Linked DNA regions of Alligator mississippiensis. The protein of the gene in region 2 purifies or fractionates together with the protein of the main gene of each other region. This does not show direct contact. Links are inferred from orthologs where the notes say so. Each region holds a gene or a part of one and is shown on either strand. Other genes may lie near its edges.

Region 1 (7,772 bases), on a different chromosome or scaffold from region 2:
CTTAGCATTTCTACACTGAGTATTGCCTCATGAGGTAATAACTCCTGTTTTACAGTACAGACTTCATCAAGTGGCACATCTGGTTTAAAGAGCTAAGCACAGACAGTCAAAAAGCCTGAGGCTGAATCAAGTCAATCTTCACAGGTTAGTATAAACTGCATAGATTGAACCAATAAGCAAGCAAACAGCCATTCACTTTTGATTCTGGAAAGGCAGCCACATGCCTGAATGGCCCAGGCCAGAAGCTGAGGGAAGGTAAAGCATGCCTCCTTACTTGGCTGGAGTAGAAAGCTTGGGCCAAGGCTAGCATGCCTATCCTGTGAGGGGGGAGTTGTGGGGGAGCTGCAAAGCATCCTGGGATGCTGGGGGACTGTGACTTAACTTGGATCTGGAGAGGATCTTTGAACAGAAGTTCAATAAACTGATTTAACATAAATCAGTTAAATCTAATACTACATCCATCTAGGTTTATCTTAAATCAGTTTTGGCCATTTTGAAAGTGGCTTATGTGCACTGAAATTCTGTTGTGTGACAGATTTGAACTAGTTTCCAATTGCTTATACCAATTTATGTATAATTTCTGTCCCTAGCCAAGGATCATTTCACTCACCTTTTAGTATTATAAATAGTCCAACTCTGATATCCTGCCACTTCCGGCTGAACTTAGTAGGGGGTTGCTGAATGGGAAGCTGTGTGAAAGAGTTCATTTAGTTTGAAATAGTTTGAAAGTGTTAATTAAATGCTATTCTTTATCTCCTCCCCGCTCCCCCTCATAATTTTGAAATGTTGAATAATAGCATAATTTGGAGCCAAATGTAACCTGGGACATTTGGCTGACAGACACAAATAACTATAAGCTTTAAAAGGACATTTTCAATAATATGAATAATGTTAGTAATAACAACCCTTCTTATTTCTTGAGGATTTCATGCTAATTGGGGCCCTGTGAGATACACAGAGGAAGTGGGCTGCTCTGAAGCTCCTTTAATCTTGCAGGTTCCTCTGTGCACCCCCACTGCTGATTGGTGGAGCAGCTCCATTTGCGGCTTGCTCCTGATTATTAGGGAAATGAAAACTGTGGTTTTAAACTTGGCACCATTTTTGTCTCTCTGGCGCTGATAGGCCGAGGGGCCCCAGTAGCTCAGCTGCTTGTTGCTCATCAGTGGGGAGGCAAAAATGGTGCCAAGTTTAAAACCACAGTTTTTGCTTCCCTGTAATCAGGAGTAAGCTGCAAGTGGGGACCTTCCACCAATCAGCAGCAGGAGGCACGTGGGGGAACCTACAAGATTAAAGGAACCACAGGGCAGCCCATGTTCACCATGAATCTGGTAGGGCCCTAATGATAATGGAACCAAACATTGTTTTCTTTCATATGAATAGTGTTGTAAAAATTCTACCTATTATGTTTATTATTATTGCCAAGTTGCTTTTTCTTTCATGGCTTCTGCATGTTTGTGTGTGTGCTCCATTGTAGGATTGAATACATGAAAACTGAGTTTCTGACACTAATTGTGTTTATTTCTGTGAGAAAGTACTTCTAAGTGTTTCTTTTGAGAATTAAATGCATTGAAAATTACACAGGCTTTGCTGACAGATACAGGTGGACTATCAGGTAGGTTAAATATATACTCAAGGATCCTGATGGCATTTCACAGAAGTTATAATACAATGCACAAACATGATAGATTGAAGAACCCTAAAGGAGGCCATGGCTTTCTTTCAGAATAAATCAGAGTGACAATGATTGCACCAATGAAATCATGCAGAGCACTTCAAATGTCCTCTCCCTTCTTGCTAGGTGCAGGGCCTGAAGCATCAACTAAGTATTCACCCTGTCACCTAATAGGAACCCTGAATCCATAATAAACTGAATAATTAAAGGTGTCTTCTATTTACTCCAGCCACTAGGTATACCACAGAGATAGAGGAAAAGAAAAAGAGCTGCAAGACTTGTAAATTATTATTTTTTTAAACTCTCAACCAAGGCCCAGGGTCCCATTATACCCCAAGCCCCACTTCCCTTCCCAGAAACTCTCCCCTGCCAAAGTTACAATTCCAAATAAAAATAAATCAGGTTAAGAAGAAGATCTAGAGACTGTCCTGACGAGCATGAACATGTGGTATGTGCCACTGCAGACCCATCTGTTGTGCCACACACTGCACATGCAGGCATAACCTGTGCTGCTACCTTGCAGTGCAGTGGGGCTTTTTGACCCCAAGAGATCCCAGGGTGGTGCACATGGGGTGGCACATGTGGCGGCACTGTGCACTGCCCCAAACTGGTGCTTGGCCAGCCCGATCCATGCTTTGGATGCTGGCCAGGCTTCCTGACATGGCTGCAGCCCCAGGAGGCCCCCAGAACCCTATGTAAGGCTGCTGGGGCCAGCAACTTCCATGCTCATCTGGATGCATCCAGAGAGTTCTAAAAATACAAGTCTCTTTCTGCCTTGTGTATTGGACTGCATTAATTACTTTAAAAGGTCCAAAACAACAAGAAAATATCAGAGGAAAACAGACAATTGAAAAATCAAGTGTATCAAGCTTTAGTTAGAGGAAGAAGATAGTTGAGGGGTACATAGGTGACCTGCATACTACCTTTTTCAAAAATGGAGGCATCATGGTGTGCTGCAGTGGACAATGAAGCATGAGGCAAAATTTTTGAGTTCCTCACTAAGCTGTGCCGCTAATCTGATGTGTGTCCCTGTACAAGTATTTTTGCCTTAGTTTCCATATATGTACAATGATGTTTCTCTTCCTCTATGAAGGACTTTGTGAGCTGTGGATGACAGGCACTGTTAAGGACTAAGTGAAAGAATAAGCTAACATCTATAACATTCACAGGTCTGAAAGGAACTTGCTAAGGGGAATATTACCCACTTCTTGAGAGAAATCCCTAAATGGCTTGTACTTAAATCTCTTCCTCTATGCACAGGTTCTGAGGTAAGACAGGATGGTGCTAACCACACATGAGTCTACAAATAGCCTTTCCTGAGAACGAGGACCCAAAAGACCTTCATAAAGCCAAGCTGTGGAGCATCAAAGTAGAATGGTCCCGAGGAGCTGTCCAACCACTGGGAGCTGCTGGAGCATCTGCTAAGCTATCCTAAGCAATGTCCAATGCACAGGACAATGGGGCACTGAAAGACAACACATAGAAAACTACAAAAATCAGGTCTTAAATGTGGTGTCCACAATGGTCTAGTCTACCAGGTTGTATTCAGAGTGTCACTTGCAAATCAAGGGAAGAGATTCTTTCGCTCTATTCAACACTGGCAAGGCCTCACTTGGAGTACTGTGTCCAGTCTGGGGTCCCACACTTCAAGAAGGATATGGACAGTTTTGAAAAAGTCCAGTGGAAGGCAACAGAAATAATCAGGGGTCTCAGGGGAGACAAGACTTATGAAGACAGGCTGAAAGAACTAGGGATATTGGACTGAAGAAAAGAAAACTGATGGAGGATTTAATAATGGTCTTCAAATACCTGAAAGATGATTGTAGGGAGGATGGAGATAGGCTTTTCTCTGTGGCTGTAGGGGACAGGGCTAGGAGCAACAGCCTGAAGCTGCAACAGGGAAAATTTAGGTTTGAGATTAGGAGGAACTGTCTGACGATGAGATTGGTCAGATGCTGGAACAGGCTTTTACCTAGAAAAGCTGTGGAACCTCCATCTTTGGAAACTTTCAAAAGCAGGTTAGACACTTGGCTGGAGTGGTGAAGACATGGATAAGCCTGCCTTGATCAGAGAGCTGGACTAGATTACCTTACGAGGTCTCTTTCAGCCTTGCTTTCCTATGACCCTTGTTAGACTTTTTCTCTGGGGAACTTCCATGCTTGGACAGGAAAAAGAAGAAAAATCATCCATGTTTCACCAAGAAAAAATTAGTGAAAGGAAGTTTTATCATGGTTAGATTGGGGCAAAGGCCAAGTTATCTTCTGTGCAGTTACAAGGTCAGATTTTCAAGTATACTGTAATTGAAATACTTCGACTGCTTAGTGCTACTCACTATTTTAGATCAATTGCCCTGCTTTGTCTTATACATTTAACTGAAGTTTCCTGCAAAGAGTTTCCTGAAATGCAGTTTGGCTCTTCTACTTAGATTCTTCCTCCCTCCCCCCCAAAATAATGATGGCTATCTTCTAAGTAAATGCTTGTGCTGAACAAACATCCTGTTACCACACATAAATACACTGTTACCTTCTGGTGTTCACCTTAAGGATACAAAAGGCAGTAAACTAAATAAACAAATTAAAAGCCGAGAGGACTTATTTATTTTGGAAGCCATGGTGTATCCCCTTCTAATGTAGTGAGTCCCATTCAGCATTCAGGGTAACGATGAGAACAAAGTAGTCTGTCCCCAAACTAGATTCTGGCAGATTGGCTGTGCTTATGCACTGGTTTTTCTATTTTCCCTTTCTTTTCTTGATGCCTGCATTCCTAAAGAGCGTCTTTGATTTTATACAATGGGCTAAGCTGCTCAGGTAACCCTGAGTCTCTTTCTGGATAAATTACCACTCAAGTGCCCTTAGTGTATGTTCAGGTTCCGTAAACAATGCCTTTCAATTGTTCATTATAACAGCAACAGTACACTTTGATGTACTCTGTCTCCTTTTTTTCCATACTGTTTTCTTCTGTGATTCCTCCTCCCCCTTTTCTCCTCCTGTTCCACTTAGCTGTCCCTCCTATGCTTGTCCCTCCTTCTCTCCTCCTCCTTTCAGTCAGTGGCTTGAAAACTTGTTAAAAGCTCTCCCAGTGTTCCAAGTTAGAAAAAAACTTTTTTACGAGGTATCAGCACTTTTCTTTCATTAGTGGGGAAGGAAGGATGAAAAATACAAACCAGCAGTAGACTTTTAAAGTTTAAATAGACAAGTCTGAGAGTCTGAACTTCTCTTCCATTTTACGTTTACCCTCCAAAGAGGCACTTGTTCGCCTGCTTCACTGCTGATCAGCAAGGGTAAGTTGGAAAGTTTTTAGGTTTTTTTTTAAAGTATACTTTTTTTCCAGGAACCTTATACTGCTTTTACTTATGTCTGGAGTATTTGCAACACAGTTGGAAAAAACTGTGCTAAGTGTTTCTAAAGTTACTCAGTTAAAAGTTCTGGGTAGTTTTTTGCTTTGTTACATTTACACTACTTTTAAATCATTTTTCTAAATATTTTTAATGATCATTTTTTAACCTAGTTCTATGGCAGGTTAACTGTGGCAATACTTCATCTTCAGAGCTGGATTTTGTGGTTGTTTACTTGATTTAAGCAAAAAAACCCATGCAATTATCTTATTAAAAAAAATAGCTTAAGAAAAAAGTAGAGGTGTGCTTCTGTGTATGGAAATCCTCCTGATCTTCTGAAAAAGCCTTACAAGTTTGTAACAGCAAATCCCTTGCATGAGTGTTTCCCATCTATCCCATACACTTTTTTGCTTTCATATGTAAATTTTGATTGATGTTTAATAGTTTGTGCAAAACATGGTTCTTAATTAGGTGCTTTGTTAAAATACTGCTGCTACTAATCCAGTGACTTTCACGTGGCTGTGCTGATCCCCCCCTCTCCTCCCCCCGCCCCCCCACCTACTTCTTTAAAATAGATGTGATAAAATCCAGACATGTGCTAAGGATTTTTAAGCCAGTTTGTATATAGTTACTCTGTATTAGCAACTCCAGTTAAGGATTGTAGAGGAGCCATGTAGCACATAGGCATATGTCTCACCATGCTGGCATTGCCTGTGAAGTTATTGAGTGGGTGGGTGTTAGCAGATGTTCTCTAGGGAGGACTCTCAGTGAGTAGTTACAGCATATATCACAAGTTAAATTGTCTATACTTTGCCCTGAAACCTATAAGATAGCACTGGAAAGGAATTCCTGAGCAGCATCTTCTAGAGAACTGACTTTTGTCTGAAGACACTGGAGTGATTAATTCCTTATTGGTATTGCTGCCTGGATGCCTGCCAGTAATCAAAGAGAAAAACTTTGAGGATGGAGATGGAGAGGGGAAGAAGTTTCACTTGGAGTGAGAACCACATCACAAGTGTACTTTGTTGGAGTAACACATGTGATGGTAATCTAAAATGTTTTGTGCCCAACTGGCATTTCTCCTTCTGCTGTCCTAATATAACAGTAAAGTCAGAACATTTTCCTAAGAGAATGTTCTTTTAGATTGTTCTAAGTGTGTTTAATTAAAATCAACCAAAACAACAACACAGGTCAACTTGCAGCTTTGATTTTTCTGTGTGTGTATGTGAGTGTGTGTGTGTTGGAAGAGCTGGGGCTTGCCTGGATCTTTCACCCTGCCATCTTAACATCTGGACAGCACACTGCACTACATAATTTACAAAGTCTCCAGACTTTGAAATGTTTACTGAAGTGTTTCCCTCAAAAGCCCTCAAAGCTAAACAGTGGCACTGATCTGTGATATCTAACAGGCATACCAATGGGAGAATGATGAGCAACAGGCTGAGTTCAAAAGGGGAAAGGGAAGGATGCAATGGATTTGATTTGTAGCAAATATGCGCATACACACAAACACATACATATATGCACCTCTGAGTGTAAAGGTCTCCCCAGTCTCAGTTAAAACTAGCCTGAAAGATAAGCTGTGCCTGAAACTGAAATTAAACAAGGGTCAGTTTATGTAAACATACTGTTGTGGATTTAAGGAAGTCTCTGCCCAGCTAGTGTTTCTTGTGAAAGAAGTAATGTTGCTAGCCCCTTTCCCTAGCCTACTCCATAAGTTTAGTGTGGTAACTTAGTGTGGTAGCTTAGCATGGTAGATTCATGTTTCTATTGCTTTTATTTTGTGGGCTTCTATATTTTGAAACATATGAACTTGGAATTCCTCACAAATATAAGTAGGCATCACTTCTATTGATTCATCCACTTAAAACATGGATGATTTGGGCCAGAAGAGTAAAAAGTTTTATCAACTGTCTACCTGACTTGTACAAGTGGAATTTTTAAGCAAACTCTTGTGGTCTTGTATTTAGTTGTCTTGGACAGATTCATAGAGTTAGACGAGGCAGGGGGAGAATGCGTCAGAGGAAGAGGAGGTAGTAAAAAGTTCCATCAGTGGATGATCACCAGTGAGTACCATAAGCCTGTAAAAGAAAACAAAAATAGCAGCTGTGAGGGTTAAATTCTCATCACTATGCAACCATCAGGGGTACCCTCCCTGTCCTCTGGAGGAAATTTACTACCAACTAAATGCATTTGCAGAATTCCAAATGGGCTGTACCTTTCCAGGGGAATGTAAGAATAACATTTCACTGACATTTGTAAGATTTGATATGTTTAACGTTCCTGGTCCACAGCCACTCAAGTCCCATGTCTTAGGCACCTCAGCTGCTTTCCCTGAGACTTTGGCTACGCTTGGGAAATTATTTCTAGGTACATTTTAAGCACAGGCTTTTGTTGGCATTTATGGGAGAACCAAAGCTCTTGGCCCACTTCCTAAGTGCTCTTTCAGCTGCACAGACCCACACACTTACCACACACCAGCCCTGATGCCTCTTCCGATCATTACCATGTGACCTACTGACACTGCAGTCAGACCTGGGCACTTAACCACAGTACTGAGCCTGCACTATATCTCCTGGAAAATCTGAACCATATGACATGATGAATGCCTTCCATAAAAAAACAGTTCTAGAATTTCTAAATTGTGGCTTCTAGATCAAATTTCTTTTATATGTGGTCATCCAAGACTCAGGCAGATGAATGCTGTCATTTTTCCTTCTTCTCTACAGCATATTCTTTCTGTCTGTACCCACCCACAATAGTATT
Region 2 (7,683 bases):
AGCAAATCCCGGGACGTCATTCTCCCGTTGTACTCGACCTTGGTGAGGCTGCAGCTGGAATACTGCGTCCAGTTTTGGGCTCCGCAATTCAAAAAGGATGTGGAGAAGCTTGAGGGAGTCCAGAGGAGAGCCATGCGCATGATCAGAGGTCAGGAAAACAGACCTTACAATGGGAGGCTGAGAGCCATGGGACTCTTCAACCTAGAAAAGTGCAGGCTCAGGGGTGATCTGGTGGCCACCTATAAGTTTATCAGGGGTGACCACCAGTATCTGGGGGAACGTCTCTTCACCAGAGCACCCCAAGGGATGACAAGATCAAATGGTCACAAACTCTGCCACAACCGATTCAAGCTACACATAAGGAAGAACTTCTTTACTGTCCAAGCCCCCAAGGTTTGGAATAGACTGCCACCAGAGGCAGTTCGAGCGCCCACTGTGAACACCTTCAAGACACGTTTGGATGCTTATCTTGCTGGGATCATAGGATCCCTGCTGACTTCCTGCCCATGGGGCAAGGGGATGAACTCAATGATCCTCTGGAGTCCCTTCCAGCCCGAATGACTATGAAATCTATGAAATATGGCCCTAGACTCCTAGCATATTAGTAAAGCTTCTAATTTCTTTTTACCTGGAGAAATAAATGTGTGTATTGTGTTACATGTTACCATGCACCACACCATCTGCACCCCTCTTTTCTAAAATCCTAGATCCACCTATGACTATAGGCAAAGCTTCCTGGATGTGGTGGTCAGGGAAAGTCCTGGACGTAACTTTTAGGACAGACCCATGTGTTCAAATGAGTGCATCAGGCATCATTCCTGACCCACAGTTTTTAATATCAGTTAACCATTCCCTGTAATCTAACAGGACTTGCATCACAATGGAAAAGCACCACTTTCTATGGTCCTACCTGGAGGCTGGGTGTATACAAATGAGTCCTGTGTCTTATCCCTTTGCTGCAATCAGAGGGCTCTCACAAAGTGAGGATCTGTATTTTTCCTCCACATCATCAAGGAGGATGCATATGATACTTCTGCACATTTGGATGATAACAGCCCTAACCATGGACTCCCACCTCAAGGGGCACATCCCCACATGCAGGGGTACGCTCTTGCAGCAGCAAAAAAAAGTAGCAGCACAAATACGTGCCACTACTTTTTGTCATTTCATGTTGGTACGGGGCAAAATGCCCCACTTCAGGGAAACGCCTCCTCCCGGCTCCGTGTCCTGGAGGAGCCAGGGTGGAACTAGAGGAGACGACACTCTAACAATCAGCCAGAGCGTCTCCCGGGAGGACCGAGGCTCCATATCTGCCAGAGTACACTCCGGTGGCAGCCACCGTGCTGCTTTTTTTGCAATTTTTTTTTTTTTGATACTGGGATTTCCCAGTAGCAAATTTTGCCCCCACGGTGCCAATTTGCAGCATGGAACATGTTTTAGTGGGCTGGGTACGCAGTTTGTGGTGCTGCAAAAAGATTTGTAGCACCACAAACCATACCTGCCTGCACATCTGGACTGGGCCAAACAGATTTCCCATAGAACAGTAACAATGTAGGGTCATCAGCTGCCACAGTGCAACTGCCACCTACTTTTGGACCAGCAGAGCTGTTGGGTCAGCGCTGGAAGACAAGAGCAAGCTCAGCACATGGCTTGAGAAATGCTGGCTTCCATATGCACGTTCAGCTGCCACTGTTGACCATCCCAGAACAGCAATATAGGAAGCCCATGCTAGTTTCCCAAGCCCAGAAACAGCATTTAGTGATGTCCAGATGGCCAATCAGCCTGCACTTGCTATCCATTTATTGAAAAGACCATTCATTCCCTTCATCTGACCCATCTGCCTCCTTGCCAGACCAGTTCCAGGTCAGGCAGAGCAAATATGAGAGCCTTTCCAGGCCTAATTAGCAGGAAACACTCCATCACCTCTTTGGCATCCAGGCTGATGGCAGGGAAAAAAACATGTGGGACTGTAAGTATTCAAAAATGGTGAGGGACATAAGGGGGAAACAGCACTGAGGGACAGGTGCTCATAATTCCTCAGTATAAAATCAGCATCTCATAATGCAGCGCACACACTCTCCTCCTTTTTCCTCTGAAGGCACAAGGCCTTTTAGTTCAGCTATGCCAGAAACCAGGTTATTCTTTTATTAGCCCCTCTTTAACATCTGAGATATTTAATTCACTTTGTCAACAACTCTTCTGTCTCAATTTGTACCAACTGAAACATAACAAAAATTTTAAGAATTCATAAAAATATCACAAATTATCACTTATAATATCATTGAGAGAGAGCAATTCTACTTGGTATCGGCACACCTCCAGAGCCTAAAGCCACTGTCTCTTAGCTTCTCAATGGACATAAATTGCAAGTATCCAAACTCCGCTGTCATTATCTTTTGCTTTTAGGAAAGAAAAACAAGCTGTTCTATAAGAGACACGCACTGGGCGACCGCACTGAGCTGAGCAGCTCTCCCACAACGGCACGTACGAGCAAAGAAAAACCTAGACAGGCTTGTTCCTCGAACTTAAGAGCTGTCTTTTACTTGGTCAGCCTATAGGTCCGTCTTGCCAAGTCTCACGGGTCAGAGAGACAGGCAGCAGATGCTGAAAGGCAGAGTGAACAGGGTCTGACTGGGTTTTCCCCCCCCCACCGCTCCTCTCTCACTTGCAGCCGCCAGCATTTAAAGTCCAGGACGCTCTAGTTTAGTGGCCGAGCGCCTCGCTCCCGAGCCCAACAGCTACCGATGCCCTTTTTCTCCAAGAACGCGTGGGATCCCTCTCTGGACCCAGCTTCACCGTCAGCCTCCACAACACCCGGAGCCAAGGAGCGACACACTTCCATCCACCGCGTGAAAGACAACTGATTTTTGCTAGTTTTAAGTTTCCTGCCTACTCGTCTCAGTTTTGTGACCCCTCTTTCTCCTACCCAGAGAGAAACGGGGTCAAATAATAAAATCCCTACGTCCTTTTTTTTCGCCGTTAAACCCTGACCACACGCCTCCTTTCTAAAGGGAACAAGCCAGACCTTTTTAGCTTCTCCTCCTAGGGAAGCCCCTCCATGGCTGCTGAGCATCCTCGCCGCCCTTCTCCAGGGCTCCTCGAGCGTCGGGGCTGGGGGGAGGCACCGTGGATTTCGAAACGGGGCGTCACGACCCTTTTTATGTCGTTTGCAACCCCCTTCTCGACAACAACTAACGCTCCCCTTGCGTTTCTCTCCTGCGATATCTACTTTACCAATCCTTTTTCAGACCAGGCTTCAAAGGTGCTCAGCCTTGCCCCCCTGAGGGGCCGGGGCTTCACCCGCCCTGCGGCGAGGGAAGCGGGGCTGAAGGAGATGAGGGGAGCGGGCAGGAGCCCCTTGGGGGTCGGCAGTTTGGCAGGGGGCGGGAATGGCGGCGTTTCCCGAGCCCGGGGGCCGAGGCTGAAGGGTGCTGGCGCCCGGGACCACCTCTGCCCCGAGCGAGGCGTGTTTCCCGGGGCTGTGGGAGCGCGGGAGCCTGGCCGGGCCTGCGGCAAGAGGGGCGCGGGGCCGGTACCTGCGTCAGGGAGAAGCGGGCGGCCATGCTGTTTCCATCACGCCCGGCCGGGCCGCCCCGCCCCAAATCCCGCCCCGCGACGACTTCCCGGCCCGGCCCCAAGCCCCGCCCTCGGCGGCTTCCTGGCCCCGCCCCCGGATGTCCTCGGCCTCGCCCGCGTTCCATCACGTGTCCCGTTCCCGCGCGTTCCTGGCCCTGCTCGCGCTGCGCCGTCCTCGTGCCGCGCCCGGAGCCGCGGGGCTGGTTTCTAGCGCCCTCCTTCCAGGGGCCTCATTGGGCTGCTCGCACCCCGGGCTTGCACCGCCTTCCCCTGGGCAGAGTGCTCTTGCCTTACCCGCCGCCCTCATCAGTTCCTGGAAACCGCGTTTTAAGTCCAAACATCATACCTCAGAACCGACTTTCCCGTAGGGAACAGCGGTATCAATGGGGGATTGGTTGCTGAACCCCATAACTGGTTGGACCTAAATCAGTGAAGTCTGATACTACGGTCAAACAGGTTTATCTCAAACCAGTTTGTGCGTGCTGCACGTCTGTTCTGTTGCGGGTTTAAACCGGTTTCAGTTCACTTATGTGTCACGTCTGCCCCTAGTCTAAAAGAGAGGAACTGGGCCCTGACACTTCTGCCTCGCTCGTGTTTCGCGGACTGCTTGCCCCACGTCCGCAATACTTTTGCAACAGAAATTAAAAGAGCGCAGAGTCATTTAATGGTATTTTTGAACACTACTGGTTTCCAGTCTGGTGTTTGTATGGGATCGCTTCAGGTTAATTATCCTGTACTTGAGCGGCATGACAGATCTGAAATGCACTTTCAGGACAAGTGGCAATGTAGCAATTGAAGTATTTTTTTTAAGAGCTTGTGACTAGGATAAGTCGGTTTTATTGACTTGCCTTTCAGCCAGAACAGCTGCAGAAAGAAGACATTATTGAGAGAGGGAAGAATACAGAACGTGAACAGGGTAGTTGTAACCAACTATTCACAATTTTGAACGCTGTCAGCTAGTACAGGAAACCCTCAATATTCACGGCTTCGGCATTCACCGCTTCAAATATTCACGAATGCCAAACCTGCGTTTTAAATACACTTTCAGGAGCTCCATGCTTGCTGCCGCCAAGCTCCTGGCACTGCGCTCCCGCCGGAGCCGTGGCCCTCCTCCCCAGCTGCCGAGGCCACAGCGTTCATGAACGTGGTGCCTTATTCACAGATTTCGCCATTCACGGGGATACGAGAATATATCCCCAGCAAATGACAAGGGTTACCTGTAATATATTTCCTCATACTTGACCTTTTTGTACTCCATTCCACTTGAACAAAGTCTTAACAGTACAGTATAAATTACTAGCCCCCTAAGTCATTTCTCTATCCTTCCTTGATTAAAAAAATAATGCTATTAAAAAATCAGCATCTGAAGAGTGAACCAAGAGAGTCCACACACATCCACATCTGCTGTACCTTGCAATACCGAGCCTGTTTTGTGTTTGTCTGGAAGCCCCTCAAGGAAGAGTTGGGAGGCCTGATTTTTTTAATGATTTACACTTCGGTTTTAATTCTTGGTCCTTGGTCCAGCTCTTTCACTTGTGCAGCAAAAAGCAGCCCAAAACAGCCCTGAATGGACAGCCATAAATTCCATCCAACAAAAGGGAATCGTTGAGTGATAGAAAACTGGCACAGAGTATCTCAGATGGAAAGAGAGAGCCTGAGGCATGGCTTGGGCGAGGCTGGAACACATGATTTTGTCCAATGCTTTGCTAGCACAACGGGATCACTGCCACTGGCGTAACTTCAACAATCCTGAAGCAGGTCTAATTTACGCAACGCATAAAAGATGCATGGGAGTGCACATGAACCCCCTGACAGCGCTGACCCCTTGTCAGCCAGCGTTCCTGGGTGGGGGGAGCAGGCAAAAGCACTGGTGCCCCCCGCTGAGAGCACCAGCCAGGAAGTGTGCCAGGAGAAATGGTACCCCTGTGGCTGATCCCACTGACCCGGAAGTGCCAGCAGCATCCCCAGAAATGCCAGTGGTGCATCGCTGCTAGTTGCGGATCAGCAGGATCAGCCAACACGAGGGGACCCTCCCCCCGGTCAGCAGGATTGGCCACAGTAGGATCCTGGCCTGTGGGATTGGCCATGGGGAGACACCTCCCCCCCAGTCACTGACTGTTCAGTCGGGGGGGGGGGGGGCAAGTGCCCCCCCTGACTCAGGAGGCACCAGTCGCCCATGCATGAAAGCAAAAATAATTTCTGAGATTGAAAGGTCATTTAGAACTACCTGCTGTCTCTCCCTCCTTAGCAGCACCAACCAGTAATTCATCTCTACTCAGTGTTTAGCCCAGCGCAGAGTCTGTCATCTATACCTGTGCAAAGTAGGAAAAACATGCTACCATTCTGGTTTGGCAACATTTTCTACCTCTTCTGACTCAGCTCAGGTGTACACAAAGTCTAAGGCAGCGCAGCCTCAGGTTCAAGTAACACGGTAATCTTTTCAGTGTGCTATGAAGTAAGCTGCAGGAAGGGAAGCATGAGACTTGATTGATGATCCAAAGACTACAGGCTCTGCAGGTGGCCAGAGTCAGAATGCCAACAAACTACATGAAGGCAGATCTAATCATGGTTTGATTCTGTATCTTTTCTCATTCAAGATTAATTCTCTGTATAATAAATAGATTTCCTTTGTTGTACAGCTAGTGTAATAAATGCCCGTTGTTCTACTGCTATTAGTGGATAGTGCACAGTTGTCCTGACTTCATATGTACACACAGGGTAAAGGGGACTTAATGCAAACGTGAATTTAGCTTCCAAACCCCCAACCTCTTTCAGACACCTCTCATATTTATGGAATGGCTTTAATAGTATAGTCAAGGGTCTTCGAGCAAGTATTACTACATATGGCTAAGCTTTAGCTTGATTGTTTTGTTTATGCAAAGACCAAGGCTCAATTTACTTTATGATAGCTTTGTTTATATTTTGGAGGAAGACAAAGGAAGCCCATTATTTTTTCCAAGGCTACACCTAGTAGTTTAGTATGACTGGTCCTGCTGGTTGTAGGAAAAGCATTGTTAAAACTACATAGTATTCAAGAGGCCACGTTTAAAAGTATTGACTCCTCATGACTCCTGCCTACCTGTTTGTGATGAGCTTTACCAGCTTTATGGAAGTGAGCCCCTTCGTGCTCTGCTCCAATACAAAGCATCTCAACAGACACACTATTATAAATACTTAAGTACAGATGAATGACAAAATTAGGAACTTGAGTAAAAGAGAATCAGTTTAATTAATTAACTCATGACATTATAGTTAAGATCAAGTATTCTGTAATCATTGCTCTTCAGCAACTTTATTACTCTTTCCCACGCAATATTACCATGCATTTTATCACACTGAGTCATGTGTCCCTTAAGAAGCATCTAACATCAGTAGAACTACTCAGTATAAGGGTGATGGGAACCTAGTCCAAATCAGTGTCAGAATTTCTGTTTTCATAAACCTGCCCCAATTACAACATTCAAAAAACTAAGTAATATATGTACAGCCCCTCTCACCAGCAAAATAACTATTCTGTGTGCCTTAGTCTTCCTTTGCTTAGAAAGATGTATTATGACTCAATCTCTGAACCTTCCAGATAGCGAGTGGGTATCAGGGCCGTTCTCAAATGGGGTAACCATAACAGCTAAAAAGTGGTAGAAGATGGGTGAGGGGTATACTGTAGGTGTGTGGAGATGAGATGCTAGGAGACATGCTTCCAGGTGAGAAGGATGTTATCTTCGCATACAACTTCACAAAGCCAAGAACCAACTCTGTTTCTGGGAGGCAATGACATTTTACATAGCTGAGATGCTGAAATCCTTCCTGGGAACTGAGGAGGAGAATCATAATACATCTTTTAGATGGCAAAATCAACAGTCATGAATGCTGATGAGCAATCTTTGCCCATTAATAAAACATCTTGAGAAATGGTTTATGAACTGCCTATATTTTATGCAGCTGGAGGCTTTATAAGTGAACATTAACATTTTAAGGCCACAAGAAACAATTAGGATCAGCTAGTGTGACCTCTTACATAACACAAGCTACAGAAATACATGTTAATTTTGGCATTCCCACTCATAATGGCCATCTGAACTACAGCATGTATTTTAGAAAGGCATCTGG

The links. The genes of interacting proteins can lie anywhere in the genome.
Region 1: the proteins of EPS15 (region 2) and GJA1 purify together in Homo sapiens (affinity purification with western blotting; 3 studies listed by BioGRID). This does not show direct contact. The link is inferred for Alligator mississippiensis from reciprocal best matches to the Homo sapiens genes EPS15 and GJA1.

Annotation. Positions count from the first base shown.
Region 1 is NC_081824.1:105,797,194-105,804,965, forward strand, and holds the start of GJA1 (gap junction alpha-1 protein), read left to right. Parts: upstream 1-4,712; 5' UTR 4,713-4,952; intron 4,953-7,772. UniProt on the Homo sapiens protein: Gap junction protein that acts as a regulator of bladder capacity. A gap junction consists of a cluster of closely packed pairs of transmembrane channels, the connexons, through which materials of low MW diffuse from one cell to a neighboring cell.
Region 2 is NC_081828.1:8,526,164-8,533,846, forward strand, and holds the start of EPS15 (epidermal growth factor receptor substrate 15), read right to left. Parts: upstream 3,089-7,683; 5' UTR 3,074-3,088; coding exon 3,026-3,073; intron 1-3,025. UniProt on the Homo sapiens protein: Involved in cell growth regulation. May be involved in the regulation of mitogenic signals and control of cell proliferation. Involved in the internalization of ligand-inducible receptors of the receptor tyrosine kinase (RTK) type, in particular EGFR.